2 linked regions of the Stegostoma tigrinum genome follow. Each later gene encodes a partner of the first gene's protein in a complex. Links are inferred from orthologs where the notes say so. Each region holds a gene or a part of one and is shown on either strand. Other genes may lie near its edges.

Region 1 (8,086 bases):
TGGCCACATTCTGAAGATTTATGAATCAACTTTTAATTAATGTGCCTAACTGAAGTAACTGTGATATTTAGACTATGTATTAAACAACACCTGAGAAGGACACATATATCTATTTACTTTTTAAGACTTACAGATAGCAGTTTAACAATAAATGATGCCAAGAATGAGTTCATAAAAGTGAGAGTAACTTACCTGGACACATTGCAGGGCAATGACAAGTGTTTCTACGAACAGCGAAAGTGAACGCTCTCACAGAATTCTGCATTTCTAAAACAAATCAGGCAATTAAGAGATTACTGGGCATGAGCAGGTTTTTTCAGAAATTCATGCCTAACTTCAGCACTGTAACTATACTTCTAACAGATTTATTGTAAAAACAGGCAAATGTAATATGGTCACAATGGGCACCAAACAGCTTTTGAGAAGCTGAAGACAATTCTAATGAAAGACTTGGTGGTAGTCATCCCTGATCTTACTTTTAAAATGGCAATTGATGCTAATTACTTGTAGGCGAATGTGATCTTGGTACAAGGTGATGAATCAAGAATAGAACATAGAACATTACAGCACAGTACAGGCCCTTCGGCCCTCGATGTTGTGTCGACCTATCATACCGATCCCAAGCCCATCTAACCTACACTTATTCCATGTACGTCCATATGCTTATCCAATGACGACTTAAATGTACCTAAAGTTGGCGAATAGTGAGGCCAATGATGTATTTTTCTAATAAACTGAACCAGAAGAACGGGATTCAAATAGTTAGATAGTTGTTTTTGACTGGCATAGACACAGTGGGCCAAAGGGCCTTTTTCTGTGCTGTAGATCTATGGCTACAACTCCACTGTGAAGTACTCCACTGTGGAAAAGAAGACAACATCCATCATAACCATAAGGAAATACGAATATGCACAGACCACAACTCTTTGTAGAGTGATTTAAAAACTGAAATGCAAAATGATTTTGATGAAGCTTTTTGATTCAAGGGCTGCTCCTAACTATTGGAAAAAATAAAGTAATTACAGAACTAGTAGTGAGAACGTAATTATGTTGGAACGTTCCTTCATAAAAATGTGTCCAGACGAATGGATATAATGTGTTTTAATGTATAAATGTCACGTTTACTTTGTATTGAAACACATTTAGAAACGGTGTTCCATCTCTTCAAGGGTGGAGGCAAGAAATGTCAAGAATTTTTTTTGGAATATAAACTGGGAAAAATGAAAGTTTGAATGCTACTGTGTTACAGAGAATGTGTCTGGTGCTTCTTATTAGCAACTCAAAGGTCAAATGTGAAACTGTATGATGTTCACTTGTAGGACACACAATGTTTGGAGAAAGTGGAGTTTTTGAGAGACAAACTAGCACCAGATGCCTTTGGATTGATAAGCTGCTTAGCAAGAGTCGTTGGATTTTTAAGTTGCAGTCTGTCACAGACCTGAGAAGCGACAGATGAACATAGATTTCCAGCAAGCAAATATGTAAAACTTTCTTCTTCATCCTTTGTACATGAAAAAAAACAAACTCAAATACATTGAAAAGAATAACTTTTTACTCAACAAAGACCTAGATCCAACTGATTAGCTCCCTGAGTGCATTCTATTGCTTCACAACTTTTCATCACCAGGCTTTGCGGGACATTGGTCGGCCACATTTGGAATATCGCGTTCAATTCCATGCTCCTTGCTATACAAAAGATGTTATTAAACTTGAAAGGGTTTAAAGGCTTGAGAAAATATTTACAAAGATGTTGCTAGGATTGGAGCATTCAAGTTACCGGGAGAGGGTGAATAAACAGAGGCTATTTTCCCTGGAGCATCAGAGGTTGAGGAGTGACCTTATTGAGGTTTATAAGATCATGAAGGTCGTGGATAGAGTGAATAGTCCAGGTCTTTTCCCCAAGGTACGAAAGTCCAAAACTGGAGGCCACAGGTTTAAGATGAGAGGGAAAAGATTTAAATGGGACCCAAGGGGCAACCTTTCACACAGAGGGTGGTGCATTTTTGGAATGAGCTGCCAGAGGAGGTAGTGGAGCTTTATAAAATTACAACATTTAAAAGACATCTGGATGGTTATATGAATAGAAAGGGTTTAGAGAGATATGGGCCGACTGCCGGCAAATGGGACTAGATCAATTTAGGATATCTGGTCAGCATGGACAAGTTGGATTGAAGGGTCTGATTCCATACTGTACATCTCTGTGACTCTGTAAAAGCCTAAAGAAATGCAAGGAGGTCACCTCATTTTCTACCGATGCAGTTTGGACTGTTGATCCATAGAATATATTGCTTGTTGCCTGGGTCTTCTACTAATTTTGCAATATTGCATGCAATTTCGGTTTCCCTCCTATAGGAAGGATGTTGCGAAACTATAAAGGGTTCAGAAAAGATTTACGGGGATATTGCCAGGGTTTTGAGGGTTTGAGGATGAATAGACTGTGACTGTTTTCCCTGGAGTATTGGAGGCTCAGGGTTACCTTTTAGAGGGTTATAAAATCATGAGGGGCATGGATAGGATAAATATACAAGGTCTTTTTCCCAGCATGGGGGATTCCAAAACTAGAAGGCATTGGTTTAAGGTGAGAGGGAAAAGATATAAAAGGGACCTAAGGAACAACCTTTGCAGGCAGAGGGTGGTGCGTATATGGAATGAGCTCCCAGAGGAAGTTGTGGTGGCTGGGTATGATTACAATATTTAAAAGGAATCTGGATCAGTATATGAATAGGAAGGATTGAGAGTCTTATGGGCCAAATGCTGGCAAATGGGACTAGATTTATATAGGAAAACTGGTCAGCATGGACAAGTAAAACTGAAGGGCCTGTTTCCATGCTGTTATATCTCTGAGCATATATTTCTGCGGAGCTGTCTATCTAGTCTGACCTATTTGTGATTTATTGTGCACATATTTGGGTTTAAAGGGAATATGATTTAAGTTTGCGATGTTACAGTTCATAATCTGTTTTGCCATTTATTAAATGATGTTTGTCAATAAACAAAAATGTAATTATTTATCAAAAACAACAAGTTGTGTTACTTTCATTTGTTTTAGATAGTAGTCATATTAACCATCTTGGTCATTCAAACATTTGTGATGGCTAATGAACAAGTGGGGTTTGATTACCAGTGTAATCCTCTCCTCTGGGCCATGGAACATTGTGCACAAATAAGGACAAAGGCCTGAGTCAGGGACAGCACCATGGTGTGTGATTTCTGTCCCTGTCTGTAACGGCTGTGATATCATACTGCCGTGATGTTATCTGTGTCCTCATCTCATCTGCTTTGTTTTCTATACTGCTTGCATCAATGAAGATACCCTTAAGCGTTGACAACCTTTTCAAAGAATTCCTAATCTGTTTCCTCTGCTCTTCAGATCATTCACTAATTTTACTAGCAAACCTCTGCAAGGATTTTCATCCTGGACCTGTTGAAGTGCAGACTGCATGGTTTATTAAGTTCCCAGAATTGGTCCCAATGCCCCAGGAATCCAAAGCTCTCTCAACTTGCACCATCTCTCCAGTCATGTACTCATCTGCTCTAATCTCCTACTATTATGCTTGATAGGCTGTGATATTGTGCATAATCAAGAGATTAATACCTTTAAGATCTGTTTTTTAATCTCTTGCTTCCTGAAACTCAACTTTTTTTCCCAAACAGTGTCACTGGAACTCATCTAGATCATGAGCTCGGGCTATTCGCCATGCCTCCTCCAGAATGTTCTGCAGCCACTCAGTGGCATCCAGGAGCCTGGCACCAGGAAGGCAAAAACCAGCAGGGTCCAGGCCCGGAGCGTCAGCCTTCCTGCTCCTCTTATGCGGCTTGACCTGCTGTGTTCATCCAGCTCTACATGTCGTTATCCCAGATTCTCCAGCATCTGCAGTTCCTACTATCTCTGAGGCAAGAACCTGCGTTTGTGTACGTGGCTAAAAAAAAATTGCCTGCTGTCTGCAATAAATACAGAACTGCCTAGATCTACTGGTTTAGCAGATTTCCTCGCAATCCACGCGTAGCTCAGCCACCCATGATACCACGGGCAATCCTCTGGCTGCATGTCCCCTGGACGAACCACCAACCTCAACAGTATTCACAACTGAATACTTAGTTGGAGAGTGGGACACACTCAAGGCAATGTGCGTTATCTGCCTGTTTACTCTTCAATGTCCGGTGAGCACCTTCGTCTTCTTGTCTGTGGATGTTAACTGGATGGTTGTGTGTGTGGGTGTGTGTGTGTGTGTGTGTGTGTGGGTGGGGGTGTGTGTGTGTGTGGGTGGGGGTGTGTGGGTGGGGGTGTGTGTGTGTGGGTGGGTGGGTGTGGGTGTGGGTGGCTGGGGGTGTGTGTGTGTGTGTGGGTGGCTGGGGGTGTGTGTGTGTGTGTGTGTGTGTGTGTGTGTGTTTGTCTGTGGGGGGGGGGGAATGCAATGCAATGCAGTAGTGACGGTTGTTGCTTAAATCCTGAAACACAAGGTCCGAGCTCCTGCTGATGCTTCCTGTGCAGACGGTTAGCCAGGGCGCGGGAAGGATCCTGGAGTTCCCACACCCTCAAGGTTGAGCCTCCGTTACCCCGTCATTGCTTATCAATTCCAGGCCCTGCTATCGCTCATCATTCCACTGGTTCACCGATCTCCCCGTTGCCGATGGAGCCTTGGCCTTGGTTCTGAACCGTGCGCCCACGCGGTCTCTGGGCCTTCTCGGCTTGTCTCCGGGTCTTCACAGGCCGGCGTAAGTGCAACCCTTCGGCCATAATGACGGGACATCGGGAAGGCGTGCGTTCCGCAAGCCGAGGAACAGCGTTCGCCTGCGGTACCGGCAAACAGCAAGACCACCGCACCCTCACCACGCACAGGCCGCTCGGTGTGCGTCATGACGCCACACGCCACGTCCAAGCCCGCCGGGCAGGCAGAGCCGCAACGGCGCACGGCGTGATGGTGTCATTGGAAGCGGTGCGCCCGGACGGGGGTACGCAGGAAGCGGTGAGGTCAGAGCGCTGGGTGAGGGCGAGGCACGGGGGGGGGATGAAGCGGAGCGCATTCTTTCGGCGGGGATAGCGGCAGAGTGGTATCGTTTGACAAGATGGCGAGTGGGGAGCTTGGGGCCTGAAGGGGAGTCCGTGGCGGGTCCCCTTTCCCCGGGGGGCTTGGCGATCGGCGTAAGCTGGTGGTGCAGCCTGGGCCTACCTTCCCCGAGAAGGGCTGGCGGCCTAGCGCGGGGTCGGTGTGAGGAGGAGAGGAGGGAGAGCCGGGTGGTGGTGGGGGTGTCGAGGGGAGGCAGGCCTTGGGCCCGCCATGAAGAGACAGAACGAGCGCGACTCGAGCCCCAGCTCGGCTCCAGGCAGCGGGAGAGCGGCCAAGAGGCCCCGGGAACGGGAGAGAGAGCGGGAGGGCCGGTCCGCCAGGGAGGAAGGTGACACGGGCCGAGGAGGAGGCGGCGGCGGCAACTATCACAAGGCCGGCCTGAGCGCCAAACACCCGGGGGGTCGGAGCAGGAGCCGGAGCCGGGACAGAGCCGCGGGAGGAGGGGACAAATCCAATAGCAACAGCCGCAGGGAGGAGAGGGGGGACCACCATCACCACCACCACCACCATGAGACTGTTAGCTCTGCCAGGTTGCCCACTGCCAGGTCCAGCTCTGCCCAGAAAAACAAAGGTGACAGTAGCAGGCCTGCTGGCCTCGAGTACAAGACCCTGGTGATCAGCAACCTGGGCTCGCAGTTGACGGACGAGGCGGTGGAGGATGGTCTCTTCCATGAGTTCAAGAAATTTGGGGAGGTGAGCGTTAATGCAGCACACACCCCTGAAGGGGGCCGGCTGGCATATGTCCATTTCCGGCACCACGAGGACGCTAAGGAAGCAAGGCATGCCAAGGGCCGGCTGGTGCTCTACGATCGACCCCTCAAAATTGAGCCGGTGTACCCCAAGAGGAGGAGTTGTACTCCACCCGAGGTTAACTTTGGATCTATCCACACTGGGTATCAGTATCGGCAACGTTCTTTGTCACCGGGGGCCTGCACCCTCCGAGACCAGCGGACGAGACATACTAATTATCCCATTGAGGCAGTACCACTGGCAAGGGAGAGGGAACGGTCGTTAGACTATTACGGATTATATGACGAGCGTGGGCGAGCTTACAGCTACCCTGTGCAGGAGGATGATTTGATGCCCGAGGATGACAAGCGAGCCACAAGGAACTTGTTCATTGGCAACTTGGATCACAATGTTTCAGAGACTGATCTGAGACGTGCTTTTGAGAAGTACGGCATCATTGAGGAAGTGGTCATCAAGCGCCCGCCCAGGGGGCAAGGGGGTGCCTATGGGTTCTTAAAATTTCAGAATTTGGACATGGCACATCGAGCCAAGGTAGCCATGTCAGGCCGGGTGATTGGCAGGAACCATGTTAAAATTGGATATGGCAAAGCCAACCCAACGACTCGATTGTGGGTGGGTGGGCTGGGACCCCTGACCTCACTGGCTGCACTTGCCCGGGAGTTTGACCGGTTTGGCAGCATTCGCACCATTGACTATGTGAAAGGCGACAGCTTTGCTTACATACAGTACGAGAGTTTGGATGCTGCGCAGGCTGCCTGTGCTCAGATGCGTGGCTTTCCACTTGGTGGGCCTGACCGGCGGCTGAGAGTGGACTTTGCTAAGGTGGAAGACACACGTTACCAGCAGCCGTACCCACAGGCACCGCTTCCAGTCCCCTTCGAGCTGTTGGCAGATGGTTTTGGTCGGCACCGGAGCCTGGAGCGGGAGGCCAGGACACGTGACCGGACCCCACCACTGCCCCTATATCACGAACGGGAGAGGACCTATTTGGACGGTGACTGGAGCAGCCCGGCCAAGAACCTGGAGCGCCGCAACAACACTGACGCTGTTTCCATCCGTAACCGGGACCGCTGGCTGAATGAACGGGAGAATGACCGCAGTACTGTTGCAGCCAAGCCCTGGGAAGAAAGGCGGAAGCGCCGGAGCCTTTCCAATGAGCGTGTCCGACCTGTACTCTCGCCTTTTGAGGACCGGGTGAGGGCTAAGCCTCGAGGCTCGTTGGAGCTGAGCCCAGATAAAAGGAACCGTGATGCTCGTGGGGCTGATGGCACCACTGAAAAGGAGCAGGTCATCTCTGGCCCTTTGGAGGATCGGCGTCTGCTTGTTGAGGATAAGGTGTCTTCAGATGCCCAGGACTCTGTGCAGCTTAAAAAGAAAGACAGTGAGCGCAATCACAGAACTAGTGAGATCGAGCCTGAGCATAAAGCGAGTATTGATGCTCCAAAAACAGAGACCAAGAAGCCAGCCAATTTGCTGGAGTTTGCACAGGCACTCACACTTGCCTGGAATGGTGTCCTTGTGCTCAAGAACAGCTGCTTTCCCACAAAAATGTTCACACTTGAGGGTGACGCTGCCATTACCCATTCCCTCCTCAAGGATTCTGTAACGGGTGCACGGGTGTCACAGCTGAAGATTGCTCAGCGCCTACGTCTTGACCAGCCCAAGCTGGACGAGGTGACCCGTCGCATCAAGCAGGGCAGCCCTAATGGCTATGCTGTGTTGCTCGCTGTGCAGGCTCCCCAGGGTGCTGAGGGAGGTGATGGCGCTGTGGCTGTGGAGCCTGGTCTCCAGCAGCGGCTGTTACGGAATTTGGTGTCGTACCTGAAGCAAAAGCAGGCAGCAGGAGTGATTGGCTTACCTGTTGGTGGGGTGAAGGACAAGGACAATACGGGCATGCTATACGCTTTCCCACCCTGTGTCTTCTCTCAGCAATTCCTGCAGACAGCCATGAGGACATTGGGGAAAGTGGATGAAGAGCATTTAATTGTGGTAATAGTAAGGGACTCTGTCTGAGAGAGATTACTTCATCAGGAATAAAGAGTAACTCTCTTTGGGACTGCCATTTCAGTTCTAGTGTCTTTGGGACATTGATTGCTAAACCAAACAGATGTGTGTCTGCACCAGACCTTTGGTTGTCTAAGTCTTTACTCTGTTTTTACCATTTACTGTAATAGCCCTTTTATTCCTTTTCATTGGAATTTTAGGCCAGTGCTGAACGTTGACCTTTTATTTGTTTGGTTTTTTTTAAAAAAAATTGATTGTATGAA
Region 2 (7,868 bases), on another chromosome or scaffold:
CAACTTGAAGGCAATCAAAGTCCATAATGGGTGATGCAAACCATCGAAAGTGGGGGTTGTGGGTAGGAGAGCTCGATGGGTCCACTGTGGTCCTTAATGGGCCATACTCGTTCCCTTGTTATCCTTTTTGCCTTAATGTAACTGGAAAACAATTTAGGATTTTCATACGTGCCCGTGTCTTCTCATATATCTTTTTAGCTCTCCTAATAAGACATTGGACTGGAAGTAAGGCCATTCCGCCGTTTAATCATGGCCGATGGGCATTTCAGCTCCACTTCCCTGCACTCTCCCTGTACAATCTCTTGTAGGTTCTATAGCTGAAGGTTTTGCTGTTTTGAACCCTCAGTTACTGCCATAGCCCCCTTTTTTTCTCTCATAATCTAATGCAGTATATCCCTTAATATCCAGAGTTGACAGGATTTAATGTTCTCACCCTTTATTGAAACACATTGGTTCTGTATCTCCATATTTCCTTATTGAACGCATCCTACTGTCCTTGGCCGGATTTGCAAGTATCTACTTACAGTACACTCTGCCCAAAGCATATCTGACCTCATTGAAATAATCCACCCCTCAGCCGAGACCTTTGATTTCAGGCCCAACCTTGTTCTTTTCCATAACAATCATGACTTGAATGGACTTACAATTGCTGCTTGCTAAATGTGTTCCAGTAATACCTCAACCACTTGCCCAGCATCCTTCCCTACAATTAAGTACAGAACTGCCTCCTCTCTCGTAAAGAGCTCTCTGTACTTGTTTAAAAAGTTGTTCAGGATGCATTTTAAGAATTTCTGCTCCAGACCTTTCACACAATGACTACTCTAGTTAATTTTGGGCAAGTTGAAATCCCCTATCACAACCCTACTACTTATACACTTTTGAAATGTGCCTACATATCTGCTCCTTTATTTCTCTCAGGCTGTTAGGAGCCTACAGTACACTCCAGCAATGTGATTGGTCTTGTGTGTTTTTTTTAAACACCACCAACATGGCTTCATTTGAGGAGCCTTCGAAGATGTCATTCTTCCTGAAATAGTTCTATCGAGAAATAACATCTTCCTCTTTTACCTCCTTCCCTGTCCCACCTATAGACCCTGTAACCTGGAACATTGTTAACAGACGATCAAGACTGGCAGCTGTCTTACAAACAGCAGTGACATCATACCCTCATGTTGTGCCCTCAGCTCAACTGCCTTGTTCATCAGACACCAAGCATTAAAATAAATACCTTTCAACCTTGCCAAACTCCCTGCACCTTAACAATCTATAATATGACTCGCTTGCTGTCACTTCTAATTTTGGACATTCATCTTCATCTGAACATTCTGTCTGGATCTGTCAAGTCAGCCCTGCTACCTAATGGGTCTTCAATCTACTTCCTATCTCCCCAGATTCTGCTTTCAGGACATCGTCCCCTTTCCAACCCATGTTTTTGGTACCGCTACGTACAACGATCCCTGGCTGTTTGTCCTCCCATTTCAGCAGTAGGGTATTCTGGGTCAGTGGCATCCCTGACCTTGGCACCAGCAAGGTGACATACCATTCTGGAGATAATGGGAACTGCAGATGCTGGAGAATCAGAGATAACAAAGTGTGAAGCTGGATGAATACAGCAGGCCAAGCAGCATCTCAGGAGCACAAAAGTTGACGTTTCGGGTCTAGACCCTTCATCAGAGAGGGGGTTGGGGAGAGGGTTCTGAAATAAATGGGGTCGGGGGGGGGGGGGGGAGGCCTCCCCCTCTCTCCCTATTTATTTCAGAACCCTCTCCCCAACCCCCTCTCTGATGAAGGGTCTAGACCCGAAACATCAACTTTTGTGCTCCTGAGATGCTGCTTGGCCTGCTGTATTCATCCAGCTTCACACTTTGTTATACTATTCTGGAGTCTCTTTTGTGGTGACAGAAATGTCCCCCTTACAATCGAATTGAATCCCCTGCCATCCTTTTACATCCTCACGTGCAGTGTGCCCACCCACAGTGCCACGAATTTGATTACCATTGCTTTCCCCTGCACAATCATTTCCCCCAGCAGTATCCAAAACAGTATGTCTGTTAGAAAGTGAGATGGGCACAGGGGACTCCTACCTTCCTGTGCTCTGTCTAATGGTCATCCATGCTCACTGAATGTGTTTTCCACAACCTGCTCAGAATTACAGATTCTCCAAAATGCAGATCACCAATAGCTGTGGCTGGACACACTTCTGTACACATTTTCACCAGGGCAACTGAAGCTTCCATGATTGCCACATAGTTACAGCAGGAGTATATCACAGGTGCAAGCTTTGCTGCCGTGACTTTTTTTAAAGTACATTTGTAACTCTTTTTTTCTAATAAAAAAGATTGTGATAATTTAGAATACTGCTAACTTACTTTCCCATGCTATGTACTTTCCTTACCCTACTTTACTTATTTATATTTCTTAATTATACTGGACCTGACTTTCATTTGTTTCTGTTGTTTCTCAGTTAATCTCTTCTTTCAAAAAGTATACACTGCTTAAAAAAAATCACAAACCAATCAATATGCCACCAGTGATGTCACTGTTTTGATTTGTTTTCCCAATCAGCAGATCTCTGAAGCTGCAGCTATTAAACTAGGGCTCCTTTCCCTCAGCTGAAGGAACTTACAAACTATGGACAAATAAAAACAGAAAGCATCAGGGAAGGGAATTACTGCCCTGAGTTTAACAAGATAGGGCGGGAAATCTCACAAAACCCTACAATGAAAAACTCTCCAAAAAACTTGATGCAACCTGGACTTAGCAAAATGATTCAGCCTGTGATCTACCAAGCTAGATTCTACCCTGGAAACTGACTTGACCAATATTAGATGAGAGAAAGCTGAGTTAACTTGGGAGTGGTTCATAATCTGAAGATGTTGAATTCAATATTAATTTCAGAAGGTTGTAAAGTGCTTAGTCTGAAAATGAGATGTTGTTGTTCCAGTTTATGTTATTTGCTGCAGCATTGCAGCACACTGACAACTTTAAAAGAAACACAAATTCCTCATTGAGGTAACAAGGTGTAGAGCTGGATGAACACAGCATCAGAGGAGGAGGAAGGCTGACGTTTCGGGCCGAGGCCCTTCTTCAGGCCCTGGACCATTTTCTGAAGAAGGGTTTCGGCCCAAAACGTCAGCCTGCCTGCTTCTAAGATGCTGCTTGGCCTGCTGTGTTCATCCAGCTCCACACTTTGTTATCTCGGATTCTCCAGCATTTGCAGTTCCCATTATCTCTTTGCTCAAAGCTAAACGTGGAACAGTTTAATACCATTATTTACTTGGAGGAACAAAAACAAACTTGTGATGTCCTGGAAAAATGAGACATGCTGCTGAATTGTTTTATCACATACGGAACTGAGTACAATCACTAGAATACCATATGTCAAAGGAAACAAATTATACTGTGTGAAGAAAGGATACTGAATGGTTGGCAAATAGATTCCGAATGGTAATGCACCAAGCAACATCTCCCCAAAGAAAATGTTAATTGTAGTTCTTTTTAAATGTAAACTTGGCAAGTCTCACCCAATCATGACCGTTTGCCAACCAATTAGCATTCTATTCTCATGCAGTATAAATTGTAGCGGCCTTTGAAGTTTGATATTCTCATGATTCTGTCCTGTCGACTGCAAGATAAAATAAAAAGCTAGTTTAAAAAAAGCACACTTTTTTTGGAGATAGTAAGAGCTGCCAATGCTGGAGTCAGAGATAACACAGTGTGGAGCTGGAGGAGCACAGCAAGCCAGGCAGCATGAGAGGAGCAGGAAAGTTGACATTTTGGGTCAGGACCCTTCTTTAGAAATGGGGCAGAACTGCCTGGCCTGCTGTGCTCCCCAGCTCCACATTATGTTATATAGCACATTTTTTTCTTAGTAGTAATAGTATTCGAAGTCCATTATTTCACTCCCGAAAGCATTCTGATTTTTGAAAGAATTATCACTTATTCCTCCCTGGTCAGCTAATTTATACGTTGAATCACAGATCTCATGTACCCTTAAAAAAAAGAAAAAAGCAGATGCTAGACTTCAGGACCAAAAACAGGAATTGCTGGCAGAACTGACTAAGTCTGGCAGAATCTGTGGAGAGAAATCAGTTAACGTTTTGGGTCCAGAAACCCAGAACAGACCTATTCAGTTTCTCCAGCAATTTCTGTTTTTGTTGTGTACACTTACCCTTGGCCAAAGCCTCAGCATATTTCTCTTCTGTGATATTCAAGTTGTTTACATAGGTAGCATGATGCTTGCTATGGTGCAGCTGCATTATTTCTGCACTGATATGTGGCTCCAATGCACCATAGTCAAAAGGAAGATCAGGCAGTGTGTGTTTTTGTTTGGAGGCTAAACAATGAAAATCTGGAGAAATGCTGGAGTAACATCTGCATGAAAAATGGAAGTTATAATCAGTCAAATTAAAAACATATTCACTTTCAAATGCTTGTTCACTTTTGAAACATTAACTACTTTAAATGCTTTCAAGCTTCTGATATTTATCAAGGAAAAAAGTTGAACGGGGTGGACGAAAATGAGTGAAGTGGGACAATGAACAGGAGGGGAGAGGGACAGAGGAAGCAAGTGGGGGAAGGGCGAAACGGAGTAAAGGGGTGGACGGGGGTGGAGATGGGGAGGGAAAGGGATTTGGGGCAGCGAGAAAAGTCGTTGAGACGGTACTCAATCAGCCTTCCGGGAGGATTTTTGCAGAAGCGATGTCAACGTCGAAAGCTTTACTCCAACGACATGAGCGTGATTTTGCCGGTGACTGCCCTACGCGTGCTTTATTTTTAAACTAACAAATATCACACTCACCTTTGAAGATAATTGAGTTTGTTTAACATATTCAGATTTTAGTGTGCGCTGGACAACGTCGAAAGGCACAAACACAAAACCTGTGCTTGCAATCGTACAACACAACGCCCTTGACCTTTGAACTCAGACCCAACCATTTCATTATTTTTTAATTGAATTTTTTTTTTAAAAATCACCTAAATTCAGGAATAATAGCAAAACTAAAACAAGTATTTTGTCGGAAGTATTTATTCTTAAAAAATCGCAAGCATGAATCTTGGTAACTCATCCCTACTACAATCCCTCCAAATTTTTTTGGCACAGCAAAAGCGCTCTTCCGACAACCCAAAGCAGAGGTTTATTTCTGTTGTGCGGTTCTGCGTGTTACTCCGCTACTGAATTTTGAAGTGCGTGTTTCCTTCCCGTGACGCGTCTTAGACGTGAATGGCGGTCGTGGTGACAGCTTGTGCTAGGTTGGCTTGAACTCTGCCCAGCATTAATAGGCATTCAATAGGTTGAATGTGGTACTGTTCGATTTTTCAAGGAAGTCGGGTGAGTGAGTGAACCGGCTGGCTTGCGGGCGCGGCAGTGCGTCAGTTGGATTCGGCGGCTGCTAGGCCGGAGACTCGCGGCGCCATTTTATCTAGGGTTTTTTATTCTACCAAACGACGATTAAGTCAGAAAACGCATACATCTCTGAAGAGCTGGTGATCTAAGCCCCTCCTTACACCCGGGGCCTTGCAGCCAGGCTCACGGTTAGTGTTTTTGGACATAGTGTTTTAGTTTGTGTCTGGAGTTTCTAAAAGTGAGGGTAGCAAGTGTCTTTCCTTGTTATAAGCGTGCACTTGTTTTAAATGACACTAAGCGTGTTTCTTGCTCGTACCACCTCGAAAAATAGCCCTCGAACTAGGTAATGCATGCCGACCATTAGGGCATCGGATAGGATGAGCTTGTTTGTTACAGGGTAAGTTGTTATTGGGCCTAGTAGATTCTACATTCACGGAAATGGGGTATAATAGCGATCCTTTGCAAAAATGAAAGGATTGAGCTTGTGTCATGATCGATAGGAAACCGTTTCTATGCTGCAGAGCGGAAGCCGCCATTAATTTCCGAAATGAGTTATAGATTTTTTTCTCCCAAACGGGCATTTGCCGAATGCCACGGTGGTTATTAAGTAGACATGCTTTTTCTTTCTCGTTGAGATTTGAAACTATTGAGAGTTTCTTAGAGTAACCGATTCTACGTTTGAACTATTGAGTTATCTTTAATAGGTTTTCCTTTGCGTGGATAACAGAAAAGGCTTGCTTACTTGGCTGTATGTGTGTCACCTTTTATGCTACTCAAATTGGGCTGTTATAATTAAAAGGGGAATTTTTTCTGAAAAGTTGAAATAAAGTAGAAAGAAAAGCTTTGACCGCTGCAGTATCTATTGCCGCAGTGTGCCTTTTGTTTCAGTTGCCTTTTGCATGCACTTTGTATTGAGAACACTACTGAGAAGTGAAAAGGCACAAAATGAAGTTGTCGCAAGATGGTTGTCAAATGAGAAGGTTTGAGAAAATCAAGAGATTCCGGAGTACAAAGGATGTTGTAATCTCCAATTTCACTCTAATCTGAAATCAGTGTTTGGTCAAATAATGCAAAAAAAACTAAACATTTTTAGTCATCGAGATAGTCACCTGAAATTATTTTATCACAAACTGTTGGATGAGTTGTATCCTTTCTTTATAAAACTAAACCAGGCGTCTCTGTCAATCTCCTCAGGAATATTTTATAAATCTGTTCCTAATAGATGATGTTACAAGGACACGGACCTAAGGTTTTGGGCATGGGAGAAAGAATTGCTTTGCAGGATAAAGCTGGCTACTTCTGTATAGTCTGAAATTAAATACAGTAAATGTCTAAAGAGACTTGGTGGGTCAGGTGAATGGAGCACAAAAATGCCACGAACTGGTGCACAAAATAATACAAAGTACTGAGTCTCCAAATCTAGGAACTACTTTAGGAGGATTTTATTCGCATTGGGGCGAGTACACTGTCAGTCGGCAAGAACAGTGCATGGACTTCATTGAGCAGAGAGGGGGATGGGGGGAGGGAACTGGAATAAATAGGGAGAGAGGGGGAGGCGGACCGAAGATGGAGAGTAAAGAAGATAGGTGGAGAGGGTGTAGGTGGGGAGGTAGGGAGGGGATAGGTCAGTCCAGGGAAGACGGACAGGTCAAGGAGGTGGGATGAGGTTAGTAGGTAGCTGGGGGTGCGGCTTGGGGTGGGAGGAAGGGATGGGTGAGAGGAAGAACCGGTTAGGGAGGCAGAGACAGGTTGGACTGGTTTTGGGATGCAGTGGGTAGAGGGGAAGAGCTGGGCTGGTTGTGTGGTGCAGTGGGGGGAGGGGATGAACTGGGCTGGTTGAGGGATGCAGTGGGGGAAGGGGAGATTTTGAAACTGGTGAAGTCCACATTGATACCATATGGCTGCAGGGTTCCCAGGCGGAATATGAGTTGCTGTTCCTGCAACCTTCGGGTGGCATCATTGTGGCATCCTGGACACCACCCCCAGGCCTCCTACCCTCCCTCGACCTCTTCATCTCCAACTGCCGTCGAACCTGGACACCACCCCCAGGCCTCCTACCCTCCCTCGACCTCTTCATCTCCAACTGCCGTCGAACAACCAGCCCAGCTCTTCCCCTCTACCCACTGCATCCCAAAACCAGTCCAACCTGTCTCTGCCTCCCTAACCGGTTCTTCCTCTCACCCATCCCTTCCTCCCACCCCAAGCCGCACCCCCAGCTACCTACTAACCTCATCCCACCTCCTTGACCTGTCCGTCTTCCCTGGACTGACCTATCCCCTCCCTACCTCCCCACCTACACCCTCTCCACCTATCTTCTTTACTCTCCATCTTCGGTCCGCCTCCCCCTCTCTCCCTATTTATTCCAGTTCCCTCCCCCCATCCCCCTCTCTGATGAAGGGTCTAGGCCCGAAACGTCAGCTTTTGTGCTCCTGAGATGCTGCTTGGCCTGCTGTGTTCATCCAGCCTCACATTTTATTATCTTGGAATCTCCAGCATCTGCAGTTCCCATTATCTCATGGAC

Evidence for each region. Proteins that work in one complex are often made in the same cells at the same time.
Region 2: rbm15b (region 1) and wtap share a complex: the UniProt entries of both Homo sapiens proteins name them as parts of the WMM complex. The link is inferred for Stegostoma tigrinum from reciprocal best matches to the Homo sapiens genes RBM15B and WTAP.

What each region holds. Positions count from the first base shown.
Region 1 is NC_081364.1:63,276,701-63,284,786, reverse strand, and holds the start of rbm15b (putative RNA-binding protein 15B), read left to right. Parts: upstream 1-4,985; 5' UTR 4,986-5,279; coding exon 5,280-7,832; 3' UTR 7,833-8,086. UniProt on the Homo sapiens protein: RNA-binding protein that acts as a key regulator of N6-methyladenosine (m6A) methylation of RNAs, thereby regulating different processes, such as alternative splicing of mRNAs and X chromosome inactivation mediated by Xist RNA.
Region 2 is NC_081362.1:33,421,594-33,429,461, reverse strand, and holds the start of wtap (pre-mRNA-splicing regulator WTAP), read left to right. Parts: upstream 1-4,665; 5' UTR 4,666-4,701; coding exon 4,702-4,750; intron 4,751-4,801; coding exon of another isoform or gene 4,802-4,830; exon of another isoform or gene 4,831-4,937; intron 4,938-5,123; exon of another isoform or gene 5,124-5,332; intron 5,333-5,345; exon of another isoform or gene 5,346-5,535; intron 5,536-5,554; exon of another isoform or gene 5,555-5,744; intron 5,745-7,868. Other genes in the region: sod2 (superoxide dismutase [Mn], mitochondrial), read right to left, coding at 4,172-4,374, 4,802-4,830. UniProt on the Homo sapiens protein: Associated component of the WMM complex, a complex that mediates N6-methyladenosine (m6A) methylation of RNAs, a modification that plays a role in the efficiency of mRNA splicing and RNA processing.